Lonchura striata: one gene and its partners. The protein of the gene in region 2 interacts with the protein of the main gene of each other region in a biochemical or structural test. Links are inferred from orthologs where the notes say so. Each region holds a gene or a part of one and is shown on either strand. Other genes may lie near its edges. The genes, in order: BDNF, NTRK2 and PTPN1.

Region 1 (10,651 bases), on a different chromosome or scaffold from region 2:
AGCAATCCTGAAAATCAAAAGGTTATCCAAATGGTGAGCTGCTGAGAATGGCAAACTTGCACAGAGACAACGCCTGTGTCAAATACCATATATTATAACATCCGTCTCATGTTAGACACAGACACCAAACCACTGAAGATAACACTCTTGGTACCAGGTAAAAGAAAACCTTAAAAAAGAGGCAAAAAAGACTGCCACACCAAAACCTTGGAGGATGAAGACATACTCCAAGGGAGATCAGCCATTTTACAATACTATAACTGTAAGAGATGACAGGTGGTGATGAACCACCACCAAAGCAGTGACAGCTCCTGGAGAAACAGGAGATACTAAAATCAATAAAGCTACTTGCAGATTAAGGTATGAGTCACCACAATGGGACCAAATATGGCCCATGTCATTTGTTAGCAGCCGTCCATCCCATGCATCTCTGCAGAGAATGATTAGAATTCCAGAGAAACATGGCAACAGAGGCAGAAAGGGAAATGCTGGAGTTTTTTAAAAGCTGGCAAGAAAGTAATGGGTGCAAACTTAAAATACAGGAAGATACACAAAATTATGCATGGAGTGGAAAATTCATATAACTAGAAGCTCCTTGACAACCTAGATAACAGAAAAATTTATTTTGGGAAGTGGATAGATTTTTAGTAGGGCTCATCAACCTCTAGTTCAGAGTGGATGCACTGAAATATTAGCTCTACCACATTACTTTTTCCTAGGTGAAAAAAGGTCAGAGGACGTTTCATTATGAATTTAATGAGACCAAATACTGCAAATCATGAGTGTTTGAGTGTCACCCAGCCTCCTGATGAAGGATGCTGCTGAGACCTGGCTCTGCTCTGGCTCCTCTCTCCTCGCCTCCACAGCTGCTAAGAACTGCCTCCTATGGCACCCTGACAGGTATCCCTAGCAAACGCAAGTTCTCCAGGTGGAAGTGGAAAAATCCACGGAGGGATGCCGCCCTCTCCCTCCTCCGGCCGGCCGGGGGAGGGGAAAGGAGGACGGCGCTAAGCCAAGGCCGCCGGTAGCGCATCTCCCGGGGCGGAGAGCGGCTGCTCCCCCTGCCCGATCGGAGCCCCGCAGCAGACACGGCTGCAGCAGAAGCGACAGATGACCGACTTCGGGGCGAGCCCCGCGCCCCTCCGCTGCCGTCCTGCGCCACCTCCATTTTGGCTGCGCCGGCGTCCGCTGCGGCTCCGGTGCTGCCGGCGGTGCCGTCCAGGGGCTGCCGCCGAGGAGCCGCTGCCGGGCCGCGGGGCGGAGGGGGCGGCATGCCCTATCTCCGCAGCACCGCGCCCCGTGTCCGCAGGACGGAGCCTCCCGGGGACAGGCGGTCGCCGTAGCAACCGCGGTGGGGAGGGGGAGCACGGGGGGACGCCGGCGGGGGTAGCCCGGCCCGGCGCGGCGGGCGCGGTGCCCTGCGCGGCGTCTCCGCCCTGCTGCGCGGTGGGGACACCGCCCCCTCCCCGCGGCGGGCCGGCCTCCCTCCCTCCCTCCCGCCTGCCGGGGGCTTCCCTGCCCGGCGGCGCTACGTGCGAGCCGAGCGGGAGGGAGCCCGGCGGGAGGCGGGGGCGGCGGGGCCCCGGGATCCGCCCTCCTCCCGGCGGGCTCGGCTCCGCAGCGGGACCGGCCGCGGGGCGCTGCCGCAGGGAGGGCCTGTGGCTCCGGGGCTGTGCCGGGGGGCTCGGCCGGCCGCCCTCAGCTCCGGCGGGCGGGGAGGAGAGGGCTTCCCGCGGCCGGGATTCCCCGGGCGGAGGAGCGCGGGCTGTCTGGAGCGGGGCGGCGGGCGCGGCGCGGCTCCGTGCTCCCTGTCCCCGCGGGGAGCGGGGGAGGGGGGGATGCACAGCCTCCGTGCGGAGCCGGAGAGACCCCTGAGCCTCTCTACCTGCGAGCGCTGCTGCTGCCGCCGCTGCTCCGCCAAACTGCTGACTTTCCAGAGCTTATTTTTAGCCCGGAGACTAAATATTATTAGCTACATTTCTACGTAGGAAGAATCGGAAGTGCGGGGAGGGGTGGGGGGAAGGCACTAGAGATAGGGAGGGAGATGAGCAGAAAGCTTATCCGAATGATCTCCAGTTGGGGGGGCTGCGTTTGGGTTTCAGGCTTGCCAAACGCGCACACACACACACACACACACACGCACACACACCATTAATTATAGCAAAGTAGATGCGGATATTGGATCATCAGGAATACATGCACGGCTCTCCCTTTGAGCCTTAGGTTGCGTATACAGAGGGGTCAGCTAATCTCCCTGTAGGTAAAGATCAGCTGCGTCCCTTTATCTGTGAAAGATCAGTCCTGCACATCAGTGCCAGCTAGAGCTCAGCTGCATCTCTTTAGCTATGCAAAATCAACTTGCATCCTTAGCCAGGAAGAAAAAAAAAAAAATCCGTCGCATCTGCTTCTCTTGGTAAAGATCAGTTGCATCTCTGCCCAAAGCATGCACATACACATAGACGAGATTCCCAGGTTAAATCAGGCACAACTTAAGTTAACTCGTAGTTAAATCTCATCCAGCTTTTCCTTCCTTCCTCACACACATCAAGCAGCAAGCAAGGTAACAAAACTAGGCGAAGAGCAGGCACCCATCCCCGCACCACAGAGAGGTAGAGGCAGGAGCCAGAGGGGCCGCCGGGGGTGTCCCCCCTCTGCTTACCTTGGTTACAGCTAACACCACGAGCAGTGGCTAGATCGCGGAGATAAATACTGGCATTTCCCAAAGTTGACACCGTCAAACCAACCCCCGGAGCTTGTAAGACTCTTTTTTTTTTTTTTTTTTTTTTTTTTTTTTTTTTTTATCCCTCCTCTCTTGTTCCTATTCCAGTCCGCACCGCTAGGAATTCAACTTAGCCCAGCTCCAGCGGGGCGAGAGGGCGGCGGGCGGGGAGGGGAGGGGAGTGGAAGCACCGGGGGTTGGCGGGGGAGGGAAGCCGGTACCCAGCGCCAGTGGCTCCCCGAGCCCGCCGGGTCGCGGAGCGATGCGGAGCGGTGCGGGGCCGCCTCCGCCGGCCCCCGCCGCCGCTGTCCAGGGTGCTGCCGCCGCCGCCTCCCCGCCCCGCTCCGCCGCCGCGCCCGCTGCGCGCCCGGGCCGCTCCTCGCCGCGGCCCCCCGCCTGTGACGTGCCGCTCCGCGCGGTTCCGCGCCCCCTCCGGGCAGCCCCGAGCCCCCGGCCCCCCCGACGGCAGGCGGCAGCGCCCGCCGGGGAGAGGCGAGCGCCGGCCACAGCCCGGCCGCCACAGCTCCAAGTTTCTCTCTCAGACGCGCCGTTTCCATCGCAGCCCTAAATCAAAGAGCGCCGCAATTAAAGTTACACGGTCTAAAACACAATTCTCCCGGCCTCCGCCGGTTACGCTCTTTGGCGTATTAAGTACTATAAAGCCGAGCCCGTGGTATCAGATGCTGTCGTTAAGCAACATCTCAAGCTTTTTGGTGTAGTTGTTTTGTTCTTCTCTCCAGGTATTAAAATAAGCTTTTTTTTTTTTTTTTTTTTTTTTTTTTTGCAGGTAGGTACTCACCATTGTTTCTTTGCTGTCCTGGAGACAGAAGTGGTTTAAAATCCAGTCTCTCCAACAGATGCTGGAAGGTAATGTGTCTTGTTTGAAGTCATCATGTGAGAACTTCTGCTTTGCTCAGTGGATCGCCCACCACTTGGTGTGACTTATGAATCTAATAACCCTTTGCAATATCCGCAAGCTTAAACTCTCCACCACCTTGGTGCCTACAGAAGACAGAAAGCAACTGGCAGGGAGTTTTAAAAACCTATAGATTTACGCAAACGCCTTAGCTCAGAGTCACGTTTCCCTCTGAGTTCTTACGTGATCTTAATGAATGAGAGGGGTTACCAACCAATACAGTATAAAACGTGATGGCAGCCGCCTCCCAGGAAATCGGAGCGGGACACTAAATTCCCGAGCGAAGTCCCGGCCGGCCGGGCGCGCTCCGCAGCGAGCGCTGACTCCCACCGCCCTCCTCCCACCTCCCGGCTCGCACCTGGGGCCGTGCAAGACGAGCCGGCTCCGGAGATTTATGTTCGGGACAGGTAAGTCGACATTTGGGGGGTTGCTTGTTTGTTTGTTTGTTTGAATGTCACGTTCACTGCGCTCTCACGGGAAGTGCTCCAGGGACTTGTTGCATACTAGGTCCTGCCACAAGAGGAGCGTGGCACAGCTGCCAAGACGAGTTCCTTTCCGAAACCCTCGCCCTTCCCGAGCTGCAACTTCCCGCACGCTTTTCCTCCCCCTCCTCCCTCCACCCTCGCTGGGAGGCGCATCCCGGGGGCGGGCTGCTCCGCCGGCCTGCACTGAGCCCCTGCCGCCGGCAAGGCAGAGGGGAGGGGAGCGCATCCCCGGTATCTGCCTTTCCTTTTCCTTCTCCCCTTTTCCCCTCGGGGCCCCAGCAGCACCCGGCTCCGCCCGTGATTTCTATCGCCAAGTCAATTCCGGTTCTGCTTGCGCTGGGAGAACGCCCGCGCACCTGGGCAGCCTCTTTCCCCGAGAGAGGTGGCCGAGCCCCAGGATTGCTCCTCCAAAGTCCTCGTCCCCAGTTTGTCTTGGCATCTCGGGTTTATTCTCAGTGGCTGCCCCGCCTCCCGGCTCCGAGAGCCCCGCGGGAGCGGTGCGGGAAGGGCTGTGGGAGGTGGCGCGGCGGGTTTCTTCGCCTTTGAAGGCGAATTGCTGTCAACTGAGCCTGGACTTGCCAAAGTTTATGGGTGCTGCCTCTCATAAGGAAAAAAAGAGAGCAAGACCGGGGAGCTCCTCGTCCACTCCCATTCTCTCCTGACTGAGTGCTGGAATTACATTCACGGGTCATTTATCTCCAAAGCGCCTGTTTCTCCCGCCCCCCGAGTCCCAGGTACCTCTGCCTGGGAGCCCAAGCAAGCAGCCTCTTCCATGACAACCGTCTATGTTGATCCATGCAATAACCAGCAGATGCTGCCCTAAGACTGGTACAGCTGGTACTTTCCTGCCTCGGCTGTCCTGGGGACAAGGTGTTAGAAGAAAAGTCAAGTGGTACCCAGCAAAGCTGCCCTGAGGAGAACCACGGAACCCCCTCACTGCATCACACGCTGCCTGTGTGCCATGTGCAGGCAGAGCCTGCCGGAAAGCCTGCTACTGATGTAACACTGCACCCGGCACATCATCCTCTCTCTGACACGGTGTCACCCGAGACACGTCCTCAAGTGCTCATCTTCAGTCAGGAAGCTGAAGTTTTCTTCCAACAGTTGGAAATACTCATAGCTAGTGTTAATACTGGTCGGGAATACAGTTTTTAGTGTCATTAAAGTTAAAAAAATCCAAAAACCTAAGTGTTTCAACAAGTGGACTTGCAATGAGTTCTGCTTTCTCCCATTCTTCTAAGCAGTTTGCTCCTGCCCCTTCCTCAGGGGAATAAAGTAATTTGGTAATATCTACTTTGAGTAGTTAAGCTGCACAATTCACGTTTTCATGACATAAACACATATCTAAATCTTAAAGGTTTCTGACCCTGTGGAGTCCTCGGTGTTTTATAGAGAGAACTTTACAACGATCCATTATGATTTAAAATGTATTTCTGCACACTTATTTTAGAGCTCAAGAAACATTGCCTTCATTGTGAAAGTAATTGCCACTGTAGCACTTGTAACAAAGTACTTAGCAGCACTGTTCGTCCCCTACTTGAAATTTCATTAACTTCTCGGTATCTTCATTTTCTGATGAAGGTCTCAGTTGTTAGAGACGCCCAGGAGAAACCTTTGGTGGGCCACAGTATCGTCTTGAGTAATAACGTTAAATTTACAACAAATCTGCAAAGCTTCCCAGGAGATCCACAGCAGGAAGCAGCATGGTGTCATTTCAGCCCTGTGCATATGCATTTTCTGCTGGAAACTGGTGGGATTTGCCAGCAGTGATAAGGTAGGGTGCTGCCTGGGAGAGCTTGTGTTTGCTCTGGAGACCTGTCGGGGTGCCATGTGAGATACAGCTATGAGCAAAGTTACTTCTTTGGACAGCTAACTAGAAGAGCTCCTGGTCAGCATTTCTGCTTGAGAATTGGACTCCACGCACCCACCCCCCTGGGGATATGTGACAACTGATTAACACAGATCATTCTCAATCGACCAAATTAAGCACACGTTTGCTGAAGAGATTGCTTTAGATAGCGTCAATGTAATTAATGGAATAAACAGGGCTGTAATCAAGGGAATGGTACAAAAGTGTGTGGGAAAATAAAAGGTCATTGGTAGGGTAATAGGAGATGCTATGGAGAATGGGAATTACCTGGCAGAAGAAGAGTAGGAGGAGGCAGTATAAAACAGAGTTCTTTCCTTGTAGTGGCTTTCACAGGTGAGAGAACAGCCCAAGTCACTTTGATGGGCCAGTGCTGAAACTGAGACACCAGTCAATGCACCAGTCACTCCTCTGTCAGCGTTTCCTGCAAGAAGGGCATTAGAAAGGGGATGGACTAGAATTAAACCTAAATGCCCGTTGAGTTTCTAGACATTTCCTTTCCGTATGTCTTGTTTCCAGCTAGGTTTTGTTTTGGTTTTTGTTTTGTTTTGTTTTTTTCTCTAGAAGATCTTACCCCCAGGCCATGGGAGACGCAGCCATGAAAAACCACTTGATGTGAGTTGGCGTGGAGGGTTTTTTCCCTTACTACCGTAGAGGGGCACAAGTGACTCAGTTACTCACCTGACAAGTCATACACCTCAGTAAAAACTGAAGCAGTGGGTAGAGTTTAGCCCATTATTTAAAACTAATAATCAGGTGGTCCGTTTACAGGCTGCTGAAATAGAATAGCTGTTAGCATTTGCCAGGATGACATGGCACAGCATTTGCTGCAAGCAGGTAGTTCATACATATAAGGCAATGTACATCTCTTGTTCCAAGTCTGTTTATCTTGGAATCACATTGTTACCAGATGAAGTATACAGCTGCAGGACCTGACTTCAGTGGGGACTACTCATACGTAAATAGTGACATAACTGTTTAGCAGATGAGGCCTAATTAAGAGGGAATCAGCCATACATTTTCCTTCTCTTAGACAAAACAATGTGAAGAATACTGCAGGAGCATTGCAAGAAAGTCACAGTGACTTAAATCAACCTGTGAAGCATCCCAAAATCCTGAGCAAGCTGCAAATGCTCTTTCCCTGCCTTAAAACACCTTAGAAAATGATGAGCTGGTTGGCTTTTTCACACAGTTGAAAGACTACCAAAATATGTGGATAACTGCTAAGCACCTAACTGCTAAGGTGCTAAAAGACACCCTCCATTCATTATGTACAGCTGCTCCTTCAGGGACCACCGAAAACCTGCTTCAGACACCAACATTAGCAATCTGAGCAGAATCAGATGATAGCAGTAGCTGTCAGCTTCACAGAGATGCTTCTGAAATAAGAGCTGTGTGACATCATCGCTGGTGTGAAACGGGGCTGCCAGCTTCTCTCCATGCCAGCAATCTAATGGTGTGTTTGCAGAAAAGGTCCCCCAGGGTTATGGTGTGCTAGTTTTGCTGGTAACCTCCTGCTTCTTCAACAGGCGGATTTGGCACCTGCCCTGCTACTGCCTGGAGGGTAAATACCAGCCTCCCATTAGGTATTTAGGGTAGTCTCCCATCAAGTGTTGATTTTCTGTGCCTGATTTCCTCCCCCTGTAGATTATCTTGCTCTGATATTTCTATCTTTCCCCTGATCTTCACGCTGCAAGTGTTAGCAGTCTTTCACTCTGCCTCCTCCCTCCCTGGAAGTTTTCCTTTCTTTCTGAGCCTACTTGTCTTCAAAGTGCGTATATTCCATGCTGGTAACATGCAGATGAACATCGTAGTCATGATCCCACTCAGATACTAAATAAGCCTCCCACCAATGCCTTGTCCTCCTTTAGAGTGCTGGAACATTTCAGCTTGCTTGCAGTCTCCTGCAAGTAGCAGGAAATCCTCTGGAGCAGACAGGCAGCAGCACATGTGCTTGTTGTGGTTGCACCTCTGAGAACGGCTGATCACCGACTCCTCTCCAAGTGTCTGCAGGGAAGGGAGGCTGAGATTCCCACAGGAATCCCACAGGTGGGCCCAGAACCTGGCCTCCAACCCACCTCAGCCCACAAGAGAAGGGCTTCAGTGTCACCATCAATGGGAGGTATTTTGCCACGTTGACTTCTTTTAAGATCACAAACTGTGCCAAGCTCATATTCACATTTGGTAAAATGAGGAGAGCTCAGTATGCTTAAGGAAAGCCAGCCCTGATACAAGCCAGGATTAATCAGGGTTTCCATCATTCACAGTGTCTGAAGCAAATACCTTGAGACAGATGCCTTGGCCAGCATAACTAATCTGTGGAGGCAGCAGCACAGGTTACAGTGGGACGACATGGATCAGGGCTGATAGGGGGTCTGTCAGCATTAAGTCAGCCACCAGCTTGCTGATCCTGGGGAAATCCTCTGTTCTGCACTTCCAGTTGTCCATAGGTACCTCCACATCCCTCTCACAGGGGAGTGGGACCGTAGCAGGACTTCAAGGACAGGTCTGAGAGTTTTGCATTAATTATTTCCTTGCCATCAACTTACAGTAAAAAAAACCACTATTGTAGTGAAGTTTTGTCTAAACTGTTTCTGTCATTTATGGAAAAGGTGTGTTTCAGTAAAACTTCTAGAATTAATTAATTTCTCAAACTACCACACATGCAAATGTAGTTCAGTACCTGTATGGCACTCAGGTTAGCTGGAAAAGACAGGAGATTAGATAAATGTAATGGAAACTATTGACCAATGTAAGTTCTCCTGCCTGACCTGAGCAAAATGAGATACTGGGTATCTCTTACTAGAAGAAAACCAGAGATAACGGAGAGAAATCAGAACCTGGAGAAAAAGAAACATGACAGCTGTAATCTGTTACTATTGCAACCTGAATATAGGATTCATTGCCAAGGTAGGGCACCCTTTCTTTTGGCATTGAAGTCTACACCTTGCTTCATGTAACCACAAGAAAACATCTCCAGGCATCAGCCTTTAAAAGAGATTCTTTCTTCAATCTTCTTTAAAGAGAAAATATACAGCGTGACTGTGAACAAAATAAGCTACATCCTTGCCTCATCATATTTTTAAATGCTGTTACATGCAGACCTGAGTTAGTAAAGAAAACCAGCACTCCCATACAGAAATACCCTCACACAACTATAGGGGATTAGCCTTAATTGTACTTACAGGTGAAAAGTAAACACATTCCTTAATTCCCTTCCAAAGTTAATGTTTATAAGGAAACTACCTTCCAAAACATATGAATCTACTTCTCAACAGTCAAATACCTTCTTAGCTTCCATGGGAGCTCACAGTCACAGCTCAGTGTTTGAACCCTGTGGAGCATGGTAGAAACATGTTATTGTTGAGATCAAAATATCTGTTGGAGGAACTACACATGGAGTTAGCAGAGAGTAAGAGGAGCTGGATGCTTGTCCTATAAGGGTTACTAAGGGATGCTGGCAAGCTCTGCATTCATATGATGAACTCTTTCAACTATAACTGCATTCTCTGCAAGGCCCCTGGGTGGAAGAGGAAGAGGGTGAGATGAAAATAGAAGAAGAGAGGAACAGGGCAATAGTGGTATGGGGTAAAAATGCTGAAGGAAAAGTAGAAATGCAGAGAAACTCTTCCAAGGCTACCACCGAACTGGGGGCATTTAGTGAAATAATAACCTCCATCCAGGCTCTTGCAACAAGTTAGCTAAAAATACCTCCTACCAGTTATGTATGAAATCGTCCTGTCTATTTTTATCTTGTAATTTTCAGACTAAAATGACAAATTCTCCCCTGAGATAGTATTCACAACAACCAGGAAACAGTGCTAATGTTGACCTAAATAAATAAAGCTGCTCCCATGTAAGAATTCCTGCAAGGATCCTTTAAAACAAGATACTTTGAAAACATTTGCTGCAAAACACATATGAAACCCTGGGGGACAAACAGCCTGCTAGACACTATTGTCTCACTATCCCAGTTTCCCAACAAGGCTGAGAGCTTTACAAATGCACCGCTAAAGAGGGCAGGGGTATTAGAGCAAGACTTCTGATGCCAAAACACAGGGTCCTGGATATTCCTTTCAGCTAGGGCACAAAGAAATTTTCAAAGACAAAGGTGTTATTTTGTGCAGTTGTATACATGTTTTTGAGCCTAGCTGCACAGGAAGCTTTAACTATGTCTTATGACAATTGACATGATGCTTTCTGTCTCAGGTGGTGCTATTACCCTATCTTAACTTTTTGATGGGGTCATTCATTACTGCTAAAGAGAGCAGTTGCACACTAAACCAAGCAGATCTCTTCAGTGCATTGTTGATTGAGATGAATTAGATCTGTTGTCCTTATTCAACCTGAAGCTGCACAGCTAAGATCTGTTTCCAAAACCAAACTTCACAAAGATAGGGGCAAGTCTAGATGAAAATTTTGTGGAGGTTTGTTTAGGATTTTGCGATAAACTCACCAAATGCAGCAGTGTTAGAGGGCGTTATTAAGAATATTATTGCTACTCTTAATTTGTATTTGCATCCCAGTTTGAAGATGAGTCTTTTCCACTGGCAGCCCACATACTGCTGCAGCATCCCTTGCTTTGCTCTACCTGATAATCTGTCAATAAGGTGGGCGATTAGGAAAACCTCTACTGTGCAGCAATTAGCAAATCTTCTGTTCCA
Region 2 (10,059 bases):
TCTTTTTTTTTAGCACAAGCTCACATGACTTGTTAAATAATTTACTCTATAAATTACTTATCCTGTCTTACTTATTAACAATTCTAGAGTGCTTTATATAACTGCATTAGAAATTTATTTTGTGGTTTTGAAATGTACGCAATACACAATCACCTCCCTTTTAATAAGCAAGAGCTTAAAAGTCACCTACTATTTTGTTGGCAAGCAGTTCTTCCTGAAAAACACCAATTAATTTCAAACCTCATCCACCTGAATAATCATAAATAAACATATTAATGACTTGATAGCAGAACTGTGAAACTAGGCCAGGAATATACTTGTACTGCAAGATGGCACTTTTAAATCAAAGTCTTTGAAGAGTCATGTACACTGAGATACAACAGCAATACATTTTCCTTAATGAGAAAATATTACAGTGGTCCTGAAAATATTACAGAAGTCCTGACCACTCTAAAAAATTCTCATTTACTATCCTATTAATATTTTTGCATGAGTGATCTCAACAAGGCCTGCTTATTTGCCATTGTGTCTACAATGAATGGATTTTACAAAACTGATAAAGCAATTTTGCTTTTGTCACTCTTGGTCCTTAGCTTTTAATGTATCAATAACTGATACCATTTATCCTAATGCAGGATCTCACTCTGGAGTTCAGTTTATCTCCAATAATACCAAAGTGACCAAACAATTATTACAAGTACAGTGTGTTATGATAAACACCAGTACTTGTTTTCCAGATAAAGACCAGCCCACACCATCATCTTAACCAACCAGGCAAATATAAAATCTGTCTCATTTACTGTAGTAGAACACTATGCAAAAACAGCCAGGAAGGGAAAGAGTGAGAGAGATGACTAAGAAAGCACCAGGCATAAATACTCTTATGCCCTCCCACACCAAGTTTCAGCAGCTGGCCTTCATAGGGCTGATGCAGAAGTACCCTCTACATAGCTTTGGATGCTGAATCTGAGCAGGAATCAAGAAATAGCCGGACTGGATGAGACTGCTTATAAACTCTAAAGCACAACCCACCTGTGGACCAAAACAGTGAAGCACCGGAGTCTTAAGTGGTGGAGGTTGCCAGATACATGGTACCTCATCTCTGTTATTCCTGCTGCACCATCCCATCTTTTTCCATCTCTTAAAGCCAAGTGGAAAACCCTGGCTTCCCACTCACATCCTGCCTGCTCAATGCCATGCACCTGGCCTATAGCCAATCCTCTGCACCACCATGGGTTTCACATACACACCCCAACCATGCAGTTAATCCAGCGCTCCCAGTATGTGTGGCAAAGAACTCAATCAGGACCCACGCCCCGGGTGCCTGTGGATGTTTTGCTTAGGACTGCAGGATGCACTCCTGTCAAGACCAGGACATAACTAACAAGTGAAGGATTGATTTCAATAGATACTCATAAAATACATGTGAATAAATTCTTCAAATTAACTGTCTTATACTTCTTACATGTTATTTATACCAAGAGTAATTCCACCAGAGACCAATGGAATGTATCTGCAGAGAACATAAAAGAAGAACCAGGCCTGAAGCTACACAAGTAAAATGTAACACTCCAGTCTCTTAAACCTGTTTCTTAGCTAGAATTAAGCAAGATCTGTGGTGTTATAAACACGTTGACAATCTGTACCAACTGTATTAGAACTGCTCCTGTGCTTTCACACAATGAAATAACATGACAGCTACTGCAGTTCAATCTTTAATTTGTCTATAAACTAATTAAGGGGTCCTTGTGTTTTATGTTAAAAGCACACAAGAAAATACCATCTTAAATATGTGCAACAGCATCTCCTGAGAAATCCATGACTCAAAATTATTTTTAGATCACCAAACAAAACAATGTGCAATGTCACAGAATGATACAGTAAAAACCAAAAAGCATTGTAAAGACAATGATGCTTAAAATAACCCAGAAAAATTAACACCAAAAGCATCAATGTAAAAAGACTAGACATATTTTAGTTCATCATGGAAAAAAACATATTTACAATATGTGTTTTCTGTTCTGGCCTTTCAAACCAGAGATTAAATTCAAGATGAGAATTGCTCTGTTACTTCTAAACAGAATGCACTGCATAAAAAGGCTACCACAGCCTATAAAAATAATCAGAGATGCATAGTTCAAGGTATTTTTTTTTTCTATTTAAGCAATCTGCAGAAACATCTGAATCAATAACAGTTATAACTCAGAAAGACCATTTCTGTATCACAGGTCCTAAAAAATTTCCCAAAGGTAGGCCATACATGAGCAGTAGAAATGAATGCCTCCAGCTTTCCCCCCAAGCAAATGCAGGGAAATGCAGCAAATTGACTTCAACGAACTGCAAAAATGTAGCCCAAAGGCTAGAATTTAATCTAAACTCCAACTGTATTTCAATAGTATTTTTCTATTTCTTCTAGAAGACACTGAAAAACAGAAGAAGGATGGAGAATATAAATTGTGAGAAATCTGTATAGATTGGAGAAAAATATGCTGGTATCTTTTACATTAAATGCTACAGAAAGCAATTGAAAAACAGGGGTAGGGAAACATAAACAAAAAAGCTTGAGAAGGTTTTTCCTGAGCACTATCATCTACACATCCAGTATCCAAAATTTTTTGCTCTGCAAAAGATTTTCTTAGGCAACGGACATGAATGCTTTGGTGCTCTGAACTGTGAAACCATGCCGGATTTAACACAAAAAGGTACAGAACTCCCTCATCAAATACTGTCTTCGAGGCCAACGTGGATGGAAGCACCACATGAGAATGAGAGGGAAAAAAACTTTTTTCCTCACGGTCAGTTAGGTTTCTCTAATTCCTTCCCAATTGCTAATAAGCAGCACTACGTTCATTCCTCTGCAGGTTTTGTGTTTTTTTCCTTCCAGCCACCTCCACTGAGAAGGTCAAAGCAGGTTCGCATTCCTATGGTTAGGGTACGAAAGCCAGTTTGCTGTCACTTTCTGCCGCATCTCTCTCTTCCTTTACTTTTTTCCCTTTTTTTTTTTCTTTTTTTTTTTTTTTTTTTTACGGAAATAAAACAGGACAAATCTGGGGCGAAGGGCAAGCCACCCACCAAACACTCTCGGTTCGCAGAGATAAGATCAGCGAATGAAAGACGTAAAAAAAAAAAAAAAGTAAATTAAAAAAAAAATAGAAAAATCCCTCCGTTTCATACCTGCTGCCGCCGCAGAGGTGCGGATGTGCAGTGCGCAACCCGCGGCAGCAGCTGGGGCAAGGGTCGGAGGCGAAGCCCCAGCCCCGTCCCGCTCCCCGGCTGCCCCGTGGTCCCGGGCAGCCGGCGCCGACCCCCCGCCCCGGTCCCCGCGACCTGCATCGCCAACAATTCGGATTCATTATGTAAAACGGGCTGGCAGCGCCAGCTCTTGCAAGCCGCGTCCAAATAAAATCAAAAGGGGCTTTTAGGCTTCCAGCCACCACATCCGCCCGCCGAGCAAAAGCCTCTGGCGTGGGTCAGTTCCCCGCTGCCCCCGCCCGCGGCTTTCCCCGCCCGCTCCGGCCCGTCGCCCCCGCGCCCGGCCCCGGGCCGTACTCACATCTCGGTAACATTGTCGCCCTCAGCGCTCCTCTGCGGCACGGGAAAGGAAGCGATGCCGGGCGACGATCCCGTGCACCAGATCCGCCAGGAGCTGCACCCGCAGGACGCGGGGCAGCCCAGCGCAGCCGGCCAGCAGCCCAGCACCAGGCAGCACAAGCCCCACAGCTGCGCCAGGCCGGGACCCGGCCTCCGCCGCCAGGACACCATGCTCACTCCAGCACTGCCCCGACGGCCTCCTCCAGCTCCCGCCGCCGCCGCTGCCGGGCGCACGGCCGGAGGGTGCGCAGCCTTCCGCGCCGCGGGCGGGCACGCCGGGTTCACATGGGCGCGCCGCAGCCGCAGCCTCCGCCGCCCCGCTGAGGGCTCTGACCGCCCCGCTGAGGGCTCTGACCGCCCCGGGCGCCGCGCGGGCCGGCGGGGGCCGGTGCTGGGCGCCGCGGCGACGGGGACGAGCGGGGCCTCCGGCGCGGCACCTGCCCCTAGCCCCGCGGGCGGACAGCGGCGCCGCCTGCCCCCGCGGCTGCTGCCGATGATGCTGCAAAACGCGCGGGGCGGAGGGGGCAGGTGGCGGAGGCTGCGCTCCTATCTGCGGGGGCCGCTGACCGCCGGAGGGACGGCGAGCGGGCGGCGACGGAGGCGCAGCGAGCGGCGGCGGCGGCGGCGGGGCTCAGAGCTCCGCGCTCGCCCCTTTATGCACCGTCTCCTCCTCCCTCCCTCCAGCTGATAATAAAGCAGCTCCGGCTCCTGCTTCAGCCCAAGACGGGGAGCTGCCGGCAAAGTGACGTGGGGCTGACGCAGAGAGGGGCAGAAACTCCACAAAATGAGCCTGAAATAAAAATGAAAAAAAAAAAACAAGGGAGGAAGGAGGAGGGAGCGGGGGAAAGGGAGGGTGCCGAAGAGCAGATACCAATAGGCAGCCTGCACTTGAGCTTTCAGCCTCGCACGTACATGTACATGTACACACACACACACACACTCATACCGGCGTACACGCACGCTGCGGGATGGGCAGCGCGTCGCCGCCTGTGCGGACAGTGTGCCTCGCCTGGCGGACGGAGGCACCGTGCCGAGAGGCACCTGGCATGCCCGCCAAGGCGGGAGCTGGCCATCGGGTGATAAGCGGGGGTGCGAGAACTCCGGGAGACGACGAATGAGCGACCATAAAACGCCTTGTTTTCCCCTTGACAGCTCCGCGGTCGGGGCTGGTTTTCGTTTCTCTGCCCCCACCCCCGGTTGCGGGCTCCGCAGCGCTGCCAGCGCACCGGATCCCGCCGCAGTGCCCCGCGCTGAGCGCTCCGCAGGCGCCACCGCGCGTCCCCGCCGCCGCCGTGCACCGCGGCCCGGCCCGGCGAGCCGTGCAGCCCCCGCCGCCCCACCGACCCCCGGGCGCCGGGTGGGACGGCGCACGACACACCACGAGAAGTAGTTACCATTTCCCGACATCGAGGCTGAGGCAGGTCTGAATGACATACATGTGTCACGTATTCGCAGGTGCAAAGACCCGCTGATCTTCCCTTGCTGTTTCTGAGATTCTGTGCTTCTGTCCTGGCACATGACATCTATGACGACAGGTTCTTCACTTATCACTTCACCATTAAGTATAAAAATGTTGATGGTCCTTTCTTACCTTGTTACCCAAGCTGAATGTTTTGAAGTTACTAAACCAGGGCAAATTAAAGAATAAAAGGTTACGGAATTCCTATTACAAAGGTACAGAATGAACAGTTAATACATTGTTAGAAGGTGCTTGGGAATCCATTTGACATGACATTCACTAATTGAAAACACACTCCATTCCATTTGTATTTGCTCAGGCTAACAGGAAAAGCCACATTTTACCAGGTGGCTTTGTAGGCCAAGCATGTGTAGATTTTGCTTTAAAAGAACATCCTAATAAGAAAGTCATAGACATACCTAGCTGAAGCACTCTATACAGAAATAATATACCTCCCCATAAAGCAACAAATGCAGACAGTACAAAAAGCCATAATCAAAAAAATTGTCAGTCATGATACTTTTTAACCAAAGTTCTGAAGTTTATTGTTGTATACTCAGAATATACTGCCTCTCTATGAAGTTCAGCACTTTGAAGTAAAGTATTTCTCTAAACAAAATATTTATGGAAGGAAAACAAGTAAAATTAAAATGTCATGTGGCATTTTTCTAGAGGAAAATGTTGGTAATTTTTAAAGAATGTGAAGGAAAGAGAAAAAATAATAGCATAAACTGCAATACTATTCAAATCAGAAAAGACCTTGAGAAAGAGCCTTAATGCAGGGTAGAAGTAAAATTTTTAAACCTGTAAGTTGCTGCAACACCCGTATTATTGCTCTCCAGCCAAGTCTTCTTACAGTTTTGGAAAATGTGCTTTATTTCCCCCTCTCTCTCCTGGAGGAACACAAGGATATCACCTCATTGGGGCAATAAATACCCTTTTTAACTGTCCTATCAATTCTATGACAACAAGCTCACATTAATCTTATCATATATACTGAATCAGCATATATACTAATCAGCATATACTGAACATTATTCTTTCACAAACATCTGTTTTCTGTGAATCTGTGAAATTGAGGCGTTGTCAAAGAAGTTTTAGATAAAACCATGCAATTGGATCAAATTGGCTAATTAAACAATTCAATAGTGTTGAAAGAGTAAAGTTCTGTAGGCCAGATCATATATATTCATAAGGTTGCAGACCAGTGTTAAATAAAGCTTGAGGCAACACTTGGAAAAGGGTATTATCACCTGTTGTGGTAAACATCAGTTTCTCTGCTGCAATTCAAAATATTTCTTATAGGAGTGTTGCTAACTGTACAGTAATCTTGTCTTAGAAGGTTTGAGATGCATATATTTCTATATGATAATACCAAAAATTATCAGGTGTGAAACTATGATGGTAAAATTGCCAACTACTGTTAAAAACCTATTTTCCCCCTAAAATTAGTATTTGACCAAAATTGACGGGGGAGGGAGAATGTGGGAAGAAGCAAACTGAAATTGTCATATTTTCAGGTGACCAAAATTGTTAAAATGAAAGCTATGGAATACTCTATCAAGAAATACCATTGCTGGCTTAGTAGGGAAAACAGCAGCCCTTTCTACAGGCACAGCTCCTGCTTTGAGTCTTTAAATTCTAGAATTACTAAAGGGAAAGGCTGTACAAATAAGTTCAGTGGTAAATCATGACTTCGCTTCTACATAGATAAGTTTTATTTTGATGTTTTCTGTGCATATTTTTCTCTCAGATTCAAGAAAGTAGAAAAGAACATAAAATACTCAAATACTTCCTATTAATCAGTACTTAAGGAAGAGCCACAATATGAATCAATATTTAAGGAAGAGCCACAACTAAACCTCTAAAGACAAGTAGCTTTCTGGTAATGCTACAAGACAAAATATCATCCTGAAGGTGGTAAAATTATGGCAAAGAGTTAAACATATTACAAAGCTATAGAGTGTGGTGAGAGGGTTAGAAAATATGAATTGAGCCAAGATTGAAAGAACTCACTTTCTTCAGTTCATGAAAGTCTGACAGAAAGTTCAATAACAGCCCTGAAATATGTAACAAGGACAGGTAATATTTTTTGTCTATAGGATAGGACAAGGATTAATACACTTGATTTACAACAAGGCAGATTCATGTTTGGCATCATGAAAACTTTTGAAAAGAACAGTTAAGAACAGCAAATAGATCACTTCAGAGAACCCTCAAATCTTGAGTAATAGAGCCTTCTCAGAGCAGATGAGGTAAACCTCTTCCAAGCTGGTAAAGAGATTTGCCTTAGGTGAGAGCAAATCAATGACTTCCCAGAAAATCTGTTGTTTGCAATACACATTTCTTTGCCTTTTTTTTTTTTTTTTTTTTTTTTTACTGACATAGATAAAGTTATGGGAGAACATTCATCTGACTATATTACAAGGAAAACCTGAAGATGCTGAAAAACTCACTGTTTGCTTGAAATTTGTGTTCTAAAGTTTACCATTTGATTGCTTCAAAAGTTTTGAAACTAACTCATACACCATACATAAAGAATGTGTCACAGCACAGGAAGTATAGTAAATATCTGTAAAAATTTAAACATGTATTTTGTAAAAGAGGTAGGAGCTGAAAACTCAAAGACTCCTTGTGAGAGTACTTTTATTTAGGTGGAGGAATAAGGAATTATACCACAGAGTCTGGGAACAGGTAAAGGCTACATAATTTGTGTGTGCAATGGTACCTTATCCCATCCAAAGGAATGTGTACCAAAAGACTAGTCTCACCAAAACTGTGCAGAAATAAACTGCTTAAACTTTGCTTACAGTTTGAGAATTTTTAGCTCTTACAAGAGTGAGAGGTTGGACAGTTCATGGGACCTTATGATCTTATCAGAAACATTTTGTTTTCCAGCAAAATATCCCAATTCCCATGAAACTTTTCACATGAAGTATTCTTGCGTTCAAGCTAGAATTATGGTCATATACAACTCTGTACCATGACTCAGAGCAAGCTTGTGAACTCCGCTTGACAGCATCTTTTGGGCTTACACTGAGGTGTACCTGCTTCTCTAACATAAGATCTCACATCTTTTCCCTGAATGACAAAATCTGGCTTCCATACTACACTTTTCTGAATTTCCTCCAAACACGAGGCACTCTCCGAGTGTTTTAGCTTACATTTTAATCTTTCCAGTATTCCACCTATTTGCAGATTTATCTAGCTACTTTATGCTGGCTGATTTTGCATTCCTAATAATGTGTTTACCTTATCACTTTGAAGCCCTACTCAGCCTTCATTTGCTTTAAAGTGAAGCTGAATCCTGCCACCTTGTGCTCAAGAAAATCAGCACAACTTTTTATTTTGGGAAGGAGAGAAAAAAGAGGAAAGGGGAAGGAAAAGTTTATTAACTACCATTTTTCTATTAAACAAGGATTTGAAGATCTGGAGATTTAATTGGTTGGGTCCAGTTTGATATGGCCTGAGATGTCTGCATGAGATCTTCTCAAAAGGACAATCACTCTCCTAGAGACACTGTTCACACCATGGAGAGCCACTTTCAATCTCTCTGCAGGGGTTTGAAGCTGTGGCCTCCTCCGTAACCTGATGCAACTAAGACACTTATCCAGCTTCTCATCCTGTAACCTCTGTCTGTTTGATGGCTCAAAGTATTAATCACAGTGTTCTGGTTATGCTTGGTCACATTTGCTATGACACCACCATTACTTTCTTTTCATCAATAAGAAATCACATCACAGACTGGATGGAAAGACCTTTCTCATTTATAAAAAAATACGAGTATTTTTAGAGGGGGTGGTAAAAGTAATCCTTGTAAGGAGCAATGGATGTCCTTTTTCTGCTTAAGTCCAAGTAAACATTCTTTTTTTCTGTCTGACATGATTCCACCAATACCTTTCTGGTAATGTGTAAATGCAGACATCATCCCAAAGGTGGTAGAACTGACACAGACTTGGAAAGGTATCTTCCTCCACCACACGCTTAATTGCACCTTCCCTCCTCCTCACCCCTGCCTTGTTCTGTACACTGCCACTCCCTTCCCTGCATCTTGTCACTGTGAGCTCCTGCCTCAGCATCAGCCTATCTTATCCACCACTCTTGTGAGTCTCTGCGTAGCTAGACAAACAGAGCAGCTTGTTGATTCTGCAGCTATCTAAGCAACCGCACTGGATGCCTGGTAGCAAATATAAATGGTGTGTCTACCTGTAAGACTTCAGCAACACAAAGCAACTGACCAGCACTGATGTTCTGTTTTGTTGGGTTATTTCCAAATAGTGTTTGTTTAGGTTAAGTTTGTATTAAGCGCATGGATTTTCTCAGTTCATAGAAGTCATTTCTTTCTCAGATAGCTGACTCTCTATATGTCTGTTTGCACATACATATTCTGTTTTGCAAATCATGCTTCTCTTTCCAATTATAAGGATTCAACAGGTGGCAAATAGCAACATAATAAAAATCTGAGAGCTAGTTGTCGGTTTTCTCCCCATTTAAAAGCTATCCAAACTATAAGGATTTTTTGGCCATGTTGAGCCAATGAGATTCTGAACCTTCCTTTAGAGTAGTCAATGTAAAATAAAATAAAGGGAAAAAAAAAGACAAAGAAAGACTCCCCAAAATCCAGTCTCCAGTACACTAATTAAAAAGATCCAAAACCATCAGCCTTCTGAAAATTTAGTTATTGGAACACTGCAGGCTAGCTTCATTTGGCACAAGTTACTGAGTTACAGCTGCTCTGATCATTTACATAGACTACATTACACTATGCGTTGCTTGTGGTTGTGATTTTCAACTCCTTGTCCTCCAAGGCCGTAGGAAATACATGGAGCTGAAGAAAGAAAGCTCTGTAATTTATTGCTCAAGATAGATATCATTTAGGTTTTGATGCTGATATGCTTATCATGGCTGTGCTAGTTAGTGTTTCGTTCTAACAGAGAGCAAATATCATTATAAAGCCTGTTTCTCCAAGGGGAAATACTACTTGTACTGTTGTGTTCATTGTTGATAGC
Region 3 (10,653 bases), on a different chromosome or scaffold from region 2:
ACCCGTCCAAAAATGCTGAGAAGCAGGTGAGCACTGTGTGTGCATTGTATGATTTCTAAACTTTTAGCAAATGATAACCATAACAGGCTCCATTTTCCCATGCTCTGCTTCCAGCTAGACTATCACAGCAGCTCTGGGTTCCAGTATTTGATTTTAAACTCTGTAGAAAAAGCAAGTGGCTCAGTAGCTTTATCTAAGGGGACTTAGGCCATCTCCAGTCTGCCAGCAGGAGACACGGCTGGCGCTGCTGTGAAGGAGCCAGCACTGAAGCCCAAGCACAGTGCCCCGAGGGCACAGAGGTGCCATCCCCTGCAGCTGAGCAGCAGCTCTGCTTTCCAGGGAGCACCCTGACTTTGTGAGCCACACTCTGCTGTCCAGCACTAACCCTGCACACACGCAGCAAGACTCAGCGTACAGCACAGGAAAACATGGAATATCTTCAGCTTACCGAAGGAACAGAGACTCCCTGCAACCCTGAGCCCTAAACCAGCTTTCTACAGCCAGAGCCAATTATGCTGAGCCTCAAATGAATCAACAGAGCACAAATTAAGCAGTGGCAAGGCACTGCATGCAGAGACCTGCAGCTAGAACTGGCAGAATAAAGCACAAAGATGCATTTATAAAAAGTCATGTTCGTGCCACAATTTATCTGCTGCTTAGCACCTGAGCAAAGGAGCTACCCAAATGCTTTCAGACTGCAGCCTGCACTCCTGCTGCAGCTTATAAACCAACAACACTTCTAAAGCTTCCCTTCCACTGACCCTAAACACACAACACAACCACACTGTTACAATTCTTCAGGGTCAACCATTTCACAGTTTACTTCCAGCATCAAAATCCATCTACGTAAGAAAATATTCTATAAATATTCTTCCAGAGACAGTGAGTATCTAAAAAGCTTCCCATGCCTTTTATGTTGTGACAGAGGGATATCCAAAATATCCACGATCCCTATCTTCCTCCCATAGTCTGAATAAAGTTCATTAATTTTCAAAATCTGTAGTATTTTAATTTAGCTTAGAGAGGTTTGAAGCATTCAAACATTCAAGTTAATATTTGGTTAAAAGACCTTAAAAAATGAATAAAGAAACTGAGAACAGTTATTTACAGGCCTCAAACCCAACTCCAACTACACTTCAGTTTTCCAGAGATAGGTTTTGGAAGGATACTCACTTCCAAACATGCTGGAAAATCTAAACTATATCCAGTTCTTATTATATATTCCACTAACTATACAAACTAGAAAAGAATGTACATTTTATTTTCATTTTGCTGCCTTCACATGGAAAACTCTGCATGAGCAGTCCCCAAATGTCAGCTCTGCCTCCACCCATAGTGGATGGAATCACCAGTTGAATGGTACATCAGTAAATAATTCAGAGGTGTTTTTACTGCTCCTGATAAGCACATCAAAGTTAATATCATTGGCCAACATACTAAAGTCAACATATCTGGTTTCTTTAAACACAAGAAGCAACTCTATCTGTATTTAAGGGATGTGTTTTTAAGATAATATCTCGTTCTATCATCCTGTGTAAGAAATTAGAAACTAAAGCATCTTCTAAAGTTCTGAAAGGCTTCTGCATGTGAAATTACTATGAAAATCTGATACTGCGCTCACTGTGAGCAAATGACAATCCAGTCATTGTTGTTTTCATGATATCCATCCAGTTGTTTTGATATTCTGGACAAATATCTACTTTTCTTTCCTCCTCTAAGAGCTTAAACTGTGCTTTCCTTAGCTTTGGGGTACGGGTTTTTTGTTGTGACATCTCCGGAGTGAAAGCTTCTCATTCCAATAGATACTTCTAATGGTATTTCTGCAGGGTGCATGTCATTCACTTACCCTTAAGAATCTGTTTTCTGTTGCACACCTTTACCACAGTTAGTACATGGTAAAGCTCACTTTCCTCTTATGGTTTTATGGAAGAGGATTTTAATTCGAATGCGCCTTTCTTACACTTAGGTTTCTCTAAAACAGAAACAACAGCCAGAACCTTAGCAATTATTTTTCTCACTTGGGTCCCTGAACAGCCTCCACAGAATCTTATGGCTCGTAGTTCTTTTAACAAGCAAATCTAGAGGAAAGTATGGGATAGAAATAGGTATTAAAAACCAAACAAACATTCAAAAAAACCCTAGAGTAACAAAACGCAAAGAACTTCATCACTGTTCACCCTGTGACCAGCTGTACAGAGAATGGTTCCACCATTGTGCAGTGCCCAAGACTTGATCGTCACAAAATCACCTAAACAAGGTCTTCATTTTGAAGCGTTTGTGTCTCCCCATGCTGGGATTACTTCTGCTGAAAAAAGGAGATCATCTAAATTCTGTTCTTTCCCAACTGTACTATCATAGCTGAACACAGCTTCCGCTCCTTGAAAAAAAAGACGCATGGACAATTTTAACCCTTCCAGGTCATGTGGCACCCAGGCAGTCTCCCTTCCCTTAGCCACACCTCCCTGTCTAGGCTCATTCCTCCTGGAGCCGCTGTGCTGTATCTCCAGATAACAGACAGGCAAGGAACACGGGCAAGCTGCAAATGTTCACCTGCAGCACTGGGGAATGTTTCTGGGTTCCAGCAGTTACAACCCCAACGCTGAGGTACCAGAAGGCCGTGGTACAATTACCCCGGGGGAAATGCTTTTCTGCACCCATCACACACACTGCTCTACTTACTGCATTCTTCATGCAAAAGCCAGCATTGTAGGAAAACTGCTTTGCTAATGTCACAGCCCAGACACGAAAAGCACAGCTCACGGAGAAGCACCTTCTTCTTCCAGATGTACACGACCTGCCAAGATGCCATTTCCAGCAGCTTATTTAAAAGCAGGATGCAGTTGAGAAACTGAATTTCATGACATAGATGCACATATTTACTAATCAATCAGGGGAAAAAAAAAAAACAAGTAGAAATCCCACCCCCTGTGCTTGTCAATAGTTGGATGCAAACCAAAGAATCACTTCAGTCCTTTTTTAAACTGAATTTTAGTCCTCAATCAAAGCTCATGCTGTGCTACAGTTTGAGCAGGCCACTGAGTCATATCATTCAAAGAGAGCAGGACAAAAATATCACTGAATGCTAATCCCTCATTGAAAATGGGCCATTCCCTCATTCGACGTAGATATTTCACTTCTGTAATTCAATTGTACCTGTAGAAATGTACTACTTAAATTACAAAGCTCTGTTACTCAAAATCATTTCCTGAGCACTAAGCTCGCAACACACCAAATCATCCAGAACGGTTCAGCAAAAACATAACGTCATATATCCACATGACTTTCAACTGATACAGTCGGCAAGCACTGACACTCGGCAGGGAAATGTAGGAAATGGACCTTCTGAAAAGCAGGCTCAACATGTCATGCTTATTCTCTAAAGGCCAGACAACTCAAGATGTTCACCCTGCAAGCTACTGCTGTTACAACTTGCATGCTACTATTCTGAAACTGAAGTCCTTTTATTTCACTTTTATGCAACTCCTCTCCATGGTCTATTGCCAGAGAAATTCACACTGAAAGAAACAAAGCTCAACATCTATGTTGCAAACATGAACTTCAAGTCATTCATTTATGCAATATACCAGCTTAAACATTCAAATGGATGTTACAGCAATGCTGCCTGATCTGACTGAACACATCCGCCCAGTCATTCACGTATTTCAGCTTCTCTTAAACTTCATTTTAGATAAAGGTGTGAAGAACTTTTAAAGACAAAAGCACCAACTTCTGTGGCTTGTATGCTCAGCTGGATCCAGAAGCCAAATATTACTGCAAGCGTTAACGTTTGTCACGGCGCTGTTTTAAATACCCCCGAAAAAAATCTAAACGCAGCAAGCGACACAATAAAAACCCACCAGCAGCTAGCTGCAGGAGTATTGCTAATAAGCTGCTGCAGGCTCTGTTCTATGATTAAGGCGCCTGAAAAGCGAAATGCTGCTGTGCTCCGAGCCGAAGGCAGCTCGGAGGGGCGGCCGGAGCGGCTCCTCCGCTGTCCCCGCGCTGAGGATGCGCCCGCGGCGGCAGCTCCGGGCGGGCAGCGCGGCGGGGCCCGGCCCGCCGGGGAGCCGGGCAGGGCAGGGCAGTGCCGGGGCAGCACCGGCGGCACGGCGGAGAGAACGAGCGGCAGGCAGCGAGCGGAGGCAGGCAGCGCTCCCCACCCGCGGCCGGGGCAGAACCGGGCAGGGCGCTGCCCCTCACCTGGTAGATGGCGGGCCAGCTGGCGGCCTGGTCCAGCCGCTGGAACTCCTTCTCCATCTCCATCTCCACCCCGAGGGGGCCCGGGCCCCCCAGCGCCGCTCCGGCTGCAGCTGCTGCCGAGGCCGCGGCGGCTCTGCCCGGCCCCCGCCCTCACGGTGCCGCCGGAACTGCGCACCCGCCCCGCCGACGCCATGTCCGGGGCGGTGGGACCCGGGCCCGGGCAGGGCACGGCGGAGCTCGGGCGGGCACGGACGTGCCCGCCCGGGCTCCGCCGTGCCCTGCCCGGGCCCCTCCGTGCCCCTCCGTGCCCCGCCGTGCCCGCCCGGGAAGGGAAATTAAGCTTAGTGGGCTCTGGGAGATACATCCTTGGAAAGTGTAGGCCGTGTGCTTGCTAGAAGCGCAGCTGTGCGGCTAAGTGATAGAATTGTTAGACGTGATGGTTGTTTAGTAGGTAAATATAATTGCTGTTTAGTCGTAAGAATAATCATGAGAGGCTGTGGTCAAGGGGTTGAGAAGGGTGGCGAGAAGCTCATGGCCAGCACACACCTGAGGGACCTCGGGCAATGTGTACAATGGTCTCGTTCAGCGTGGGAGCAGCAGCAGCTGTGAGGGGCTGGGGTCACCTCAGTGTCCAGGAGCGGGACAGGAGCCGGGCAGTGTCCCCCGGCAGTGGGGACAGCCTGGCAGCGGGGACACCGGGCAGAAGGATTCGGCTGGGACACACCTGCACAGGGCAGGTGAGCAGAGATGAGAGTGAGGACAAGGAGATGCGACAATCAGAAGCCAGACGGGGACTCAATGCCAGGCTCAGCGAGCCACGTCACAACCGCGGTACCTCAGGTGTGTGAGGGCTGAGAACTTACACAGGAGTGTGAGGGCTGAGGGGTCCCTCAGGTGTGTGAGGGCTGAGAACTTACACAGGTGTGTGAGGGCTGAGGGGCCCCTCAGGTGTGTGAGGGCTGAGAACTTACACAGGTGTGTGAGGGCTGAGGGGTCTCTCAGGTGTGTGAGGGCTGAGAACTTACACAGGAGTGTGAGGGCTGAGGGGTCCCTCAGGTGTGTGAGGGCTGAGGGGTCTCTCAGGTTTGTGAGGGCTGAGAACTTACACAGGTCTGTGAGGGCTGAGAACTTACACAGGTGTGTGAGGGCTGAGGGGCCCCTCAGGTGTGTGATGGCCAGGATCACCACAGGTGTGTGAGGGCCGGGGTCTCTCAGGTGTGTTTGGGCTGGGGTCTCAGGTGTGTGATGCCCGGGGTCCCTCAGGTAATGTTCAGGCCGGGGTCCCCTTTCCCTGGCCCGCAGCCGCGGCTGTCCCGGAGGAGCTCCGGAGGAGCCCGGCAGAGCCCGGTGCAGAGCCCATTCCATCAGGGCAGTCCCGGCAGAGCCCCGGAGATGCCCGGCAGAGCCCGGTGCAGAGCCCGGTGCAGCAGCGCAGAGCCCGGCAGAGCCCCGGAGGAGCCCGGCAGAGCCCGGTGCAGCAGCGAGCCCCGGCAGAGCCCGGTGCAGCAGCGCAGAGCCCGGCAGAGCCCCGGAGGAGCCCGGCAGAGCCCGGTGCAGCAGCGAGCCCCGGCAGAGCCCGGTGCAGCAGCGCAGCCCGCAGCGGGCAGGAGCCGCTGGGTGTCACTGCTCCATCGGGAGTGCTGGAACCCAGCCCCGCTCGCCGCCCGCGCCTCCTCCCGCAGCAGCAGCGCCGGAGGCAGGGCACAGCTCCTCCTGCGAGTTCTTACTCTAGTTCTTCCCATTCCTCCTCGTAAAGATGTACTTTTCCGCTGGCCGAGTATTTCCGTCTAAAATTGCAGGGAAAATTGGCCCTGGCATAGTTTGGCTTTTCTGTAAGGTTTCTTTGGTGGCTTCTGAACTATTTCCTGCTTAGTAGGAAGCCGTACAAATGATATACAAATAGTATAAATTAGTATAAAAATGTATATAACTTTGTAGTATAAATTATTATACAATAATATATATTATACTGTATAAATAATATAATATTACACAGTATAAATTATTATAAGATTTTTTAAAAATAAACATCTTACAATAAAATTTATTGATGGTTGGGATAGACTAGGAAAGGTGGTAGGAATGTCTGGATTGGAATTGTTACAGGAAGGTCTGTTTTCATTAAATTTTCAGTCCTGGCTTGCAATGGATAAAGGGTAAATTAATCTCTGGATTTATAACTTCAGCTGAAGCCAGAGGGGATTTACACAAGTGCTGAATTGGACTCAACTGGCTCCACGCTTTTGGATACATGTGCCAGGGATACCTGTCCCAGTAGAGCTTAAGGTCTGAAATACATTCCAGCCAAGAATATGAGCTGAAAATGGCCACTTGGATCAGACATCTGTGCCCTACAAACTTGTTCACCCTTTAATACATATTTAATCCTCAAATTGTGCCTCCGCACATATGCAGAGCAGCAAAAAATTTCCTAAGAGCCTTTATGAAATTTATGATCTACCTTACAAAATACTAAAAGTTGCAAAATCTGCGAAGGATTGCAGGAAATAAAACACAGAAGAGATTAAAAGTCTTACTGGTAACTCAGATCCATATAATAATGGAGGATTAGGTAAATGAAAATGTTCTGTGCTCTCAGGACACAACCCTTCTTGCACTTTGCACAGAGAAAGGCAGTCCCTTCCCAAAACAATTCCAACCTGTGCAACTTAAGGCACACTGTATTTTCATCCCAGTGTAGCCTGATTCAGAGGTTTTGGTTTTCAAATTGTCCACTAGAGCCTGGCTCTTAAAATGACAATGAGAATTCAGGGGAAAGGGTTGGATCGTGTTACTTATTTCTACTTCATAAAAAAGGCGGGTGCTTGTCCAAACTCAATCCTACATTTCATATCCTCTCTTCATCCTCCACAGCTCAGAGGATCTTGATGGAGAAAGCTGGGAATACACAAATACACGAACTGCACTGTGGAGTGGCAGGGTGTGCCAGCCCCAGGGCTCGCTGCTCTGGCAGCTGCCAGGCTTTAGCTTTTGTGAAACAGAAGTTCTGGATGGGATGGGATGGGATGGGATGGGATGGGATGGGATGGGATGGGATGGGATGGGATGGGATGGGATGGGATGGGATGGGATGGGATGGGATGGAACTTGAGTGCTGCAAACAAGACTAGAATACCAAAAACTCTGCTTACTGCCTCTGTTAAAGGAAAATAACTTCTGTGTGTGTGTGTGCCTGGGCAGCTTCTGCTGGTTCAGATCTTTCAGAGCCTCCGTGGGTTTTACAGGGCGTTTCATACCCTGCTGTGGCAGGAGCAGGTGGAGGCAGAGATCTTTAATCAGCTGTTAGTGACTATATCTCACCGTTGGATGGCACTCCAGCCCTTACTGCTCGTTGCCATCACAGCCTGGATTTCACTCGTACACAGGATTTTTAAGTCAAGTAGTAACGATTAGGAAGACTTTTTTTATTACTAATGTGATAATAGAGTAAAATTACACTTGCAGAGCTGGCTTTAGTTTCACAGCATTAGGCTTTGAGAGGTCTATGTTGAAATCTTGCCAGATTGTTTAGTTTTTTAAATAAAGATTTCCAAATGCAGTTGGGACTCAGGGGTGATGGACTCTCTAGTGTCAGGAGAGATGTGTGTATGTTTATGATTGTAAGGTAATTTATCCCCAGGCTTTCAGTCACTGTTTTATCCTTTATGTAGTGTTTTAGATTAATGGGAGAATGTTTTCAGCAACCTTTTCCTTAAGTGATCCTTTTTCCTTGCAGCAGATGCAGCATCCCTGAGTCTGGAATCACTTCCACCCGTGCTTCCCCGGGCTGCAGAACGGTGAGTGCTCCAGTCTGCACATCTCTAGTCTGGCAAGCAGAAATATTTTTTCCCTCACATTGAAGATGTTCAATGTCTGCATTTCATTCAAAGTTGTGGCTGCTGGTTTTACAAATGCAGGGAGCATTAGCTCAAATGTGGTTACTGACACAGCAAAGGTTTCCTGCTGAGACAGTAGTGTCCTTGGTGTCACTGCAGATTTGCCTGGGATTCCTGCAGGGTTTTGCAGTCTGCCCCGAGTTCCTTGCTGCCAGCAGCCTTAGCTTGGAGCAAAGGGAGTTTATTTATGATTTTCTGACTGCCCTTGAGGTGGGTATCCAAGGCAAAGTGTGTGGCAGCAGCAGCGACCGAGCCTCCCCTCCTTTGGCACCCGCTGCTGGTTTCTGTGGCATCCCACCCCTGCAGTTCTGCCAGCCCCAGTGTTCATGCAGCTGCACTTGGGAATGGAGGTGGGAACACAGCTACTTCAAAAAATACCAATCCCCCCAAAAACACCACCACCACCACCAAAAACCACACCCCACAAAAAATACTTTTCTTCTGGATTAGCTTTAGGCATGACTAGGTCTCTAGTACAGTAAACCACATTGGCACATAAACAATATTTCCAGAACTACAGAACACGTTGATGCTGGGGCAGGAGGAGAAAAGAAGATAAATATCAGTACCATAAACCAGTATTACCACTCAAGACTCCATCCTGAGACACCCCAGCTAATTCTATAATTTCAGTGATCCATGGTGTTCTAAAATTTGTTGTTATTTGTAGTAGTAGTAATTACAGCAGTAATAACAGCAGTAATAACAACTATTATTATTATTATTATTATTATTATTATTATTACTATTATCTTTGTGACAAAATGCATGCCAGCCATAAGTAAGACTGTAGTTACAACAAATATCTTGTGTGGAAAGAACAGCCTGAATTCCTTTTTGTCTAGGAAGAGAACAAAAGCCTTCTCATTTCAGGTAAGCCTTTAAGATAAAAAAATAGGAAAATAAAATCTTATCTATTTTAATCAGTATTTCCTTGAAACAAGTGTGACTATTTTCATATTGTCCTCTAAAGAACAGTTCTTTCTGGAGGCACATCTTAGAGCTTTTAGAGTGTGAGAGTTTTCTCACTCTTTATTTATTTTCTGTAATGGAAGAGGAGCTCAGATCAACTCCCTTTTGCTGAGTCCGAGGGGCTCAATAAAACTGCTTGGGAAACCAGCACCGGATTTGGGATGGCAGCAGGGAGATTTACACTTTGTGTTTCCCCAGCACTGCACATAAACAAGTATCTTTCAGCTGGAACATTTTTTACAAGTGAGATACAGTAAAAAAGTCTGGCCCAATTTGAAAAGTAAATGAGACAGAAAAATCCTTCTGCAGGGCAAAGCAACCTCGATGCATGGCTGGCCTTGGTGACCCCCTGCCAGGAGAAGAGGGACCTAGGAACGTTTCTTCTAATGGGTTATCTGAATCTTATCTGCTCAAACACTTCAGAGTTCAGGAAAAGCAGCCAAAGTCAATTTCTGCTTAGAGTGTTTAAAACAAAAAATAAACAGAAGGGAGAAGTTGTGCGTGTGCAGGAGGAGGCGTTGCGCTGGAGAACGGGCAGGGTGGTGGGACTGGGGAGGGAATGGTTTCACCCACACTGGCTCTTCTGAAATCCGCTTGCATCTATCCATGTTTTCGCAAATGAAAACGAAATTGCACAATCCATAATTGTGGTGATGGAGGGCTGCTGGTGCTCTCTCTGACCTGCCAGGTAGGTGAAACAATTGTCAGTGTAAATTAGAGAACAGCTGTATCGTTATTCAGTGACAGTTACCTGGTTCTGCAAAGCCTGGAAAATGCCTTCAGAGGCAGAGTTTTCAGGTCTTTGTTAATATTTTAAAGCGCTAAAAAAAAACCCAAACCAAACCCCTTCTCAGTGTGCACTGGCTGATGATTGAGATGAGTTATCTGCTCTGTGCCTCCAGCCTCCCGCCTGAACCAGCTGTTCTCAGCCCAGACATCAAGCTCCCTTAACGCTGAACGGAAATGGAAATGGCTGTACTTCACCTGTAATTTCTCCTTCAGCCTGTTGATACCTTATCTATTGACTGTAAGGGCTTTGCTAACCTGTCACCTCTGGCTTTCAGAGCTGCTCTGTTCCAAAGGAAGCTCCAAGAATTGTTGTGCCAGTTCAGTGTCTGTAAAAATCTGTTACTTTCTCTGTCTGTGGCATCAGGCACACTACGTATGAATCCTCTCTGAGTGCCTGTGATATGGAATTGAATCACAAGCTTTTCTTTACAAAGAAAACCCTTCCAACAGGAATGAATCTCTCTTTTGTAGCTGATAAAATAGGAGAAAATTTAACCAAAGCAATTTATTCTGGTTCATATGAAAAATGTTGTCAGTGAAAACATGGAACTCTTACAAAATATCAACATTTCACTCCTATCTGCATGTAGATCAATATGAATGGGTCACAGTGACCTCTCAGGGAGCAGGTGTGCATGGCAACCAAAACTAATATGTATTTTAAGGACTAAGGTCCTTAAAAAAACAGAAACCACCTTTATCCACAGAGGATCTGTTCCCAACAAGATAATTTCTGTACTGTTTTACAGTTGGTTTCAGGGAAATTTTAGCTTTTCAGTTGTTGGGTTTTTTCACA

What was found.
Region 1: the proteins of NTRK2 (region 2) and BDNF form a complex in vitro, tested with the Homo sapiens proteins (3 studies listed by BioGRID). The link is inferred for Lonchura striata from reciprocal best matches to the Homo sapiens genes NTRK2 and BDNF.
Region 3: the proteins of NTRK2 (region 2) and PTPN1 form a complex in vitro, tested with the Homo sapiens proteins (2 studies listed by BioGRID, with this or other methods). The link is inferred for Lonchura striata from reciprocal best matches to the Homo sapiens genes NTRK2 and PTPN1.

What each region holds. Positions count from the first base shown.
Region 1 is NC_134608.1:62,120,586-62,131,236, reverse strand, and holds the start of BDNF (neurotrophic factor BDNF precursor form), read right to left. Parts: upstream 4,524-10,651; 5' UTR 4,477-4,523; intron 4,029-4,476; exon of another isoform or gene 3,994-4,028; intron 3,722-3,993; 5' UTR 3,522-3,721; coding exon 3,519-3,521; intron 2,822-3,518; exon of another isoform or gene 2,660-2,821; intron 1,912-2,659; exon of another isoform or gene 1,886-1,911; intron 1-1,885. UniProt on the Homo sapiens protein: Important signaling molecule that activates signaling cascades downstream of NTRK2. During development, promotes the survival and differentiation of selected neuronal populations of the peripheral and central nervous systems.
Region 2 is NC_134642.1:26,508,509-26,518,567, reverse strand, and holds the start of NTRK2 (BDNF/NT-3 growth factors receptor), read right to left. Parts: upstream 3,884-10,059; 5' UTR 3,763-3,883; coding exon 3,554-3,762; intron 1-3,553. UniProt on the Homo sapiens protein: Receptor tyrosine kinase involved in the development and the maturation of the central and the peripheral nervous systems through regulation of neuron survival, proliferation, migration, differentiation, and synapse formation and plasticity.
Region 3 is NC_134619.1:1,087,248-1,097,900, reverse strand, and holds the start of PTPN1 (tyrosine-protein phosphatase non-receptor type 1), read right to left. Parts: upstream 4,354-10,653; 5' UTR 4,264-4,353; coding exon 4,201-4,263; intron 3,985-4,200; exon of another isoform or gene 2,692-3,984; coding exon of another isoform or gene 2,680-2,691; intron 1-2,679. UniProt on the Homo sapiens protein: Tyrosine-protein phosphatase which acts as a regulator of endoplasmic reticulum unfolded protein response. Mediates dephosphorylation of EIF2AK3/PERK; inactivating the protein kinase activity of EIF2AK3/PERK.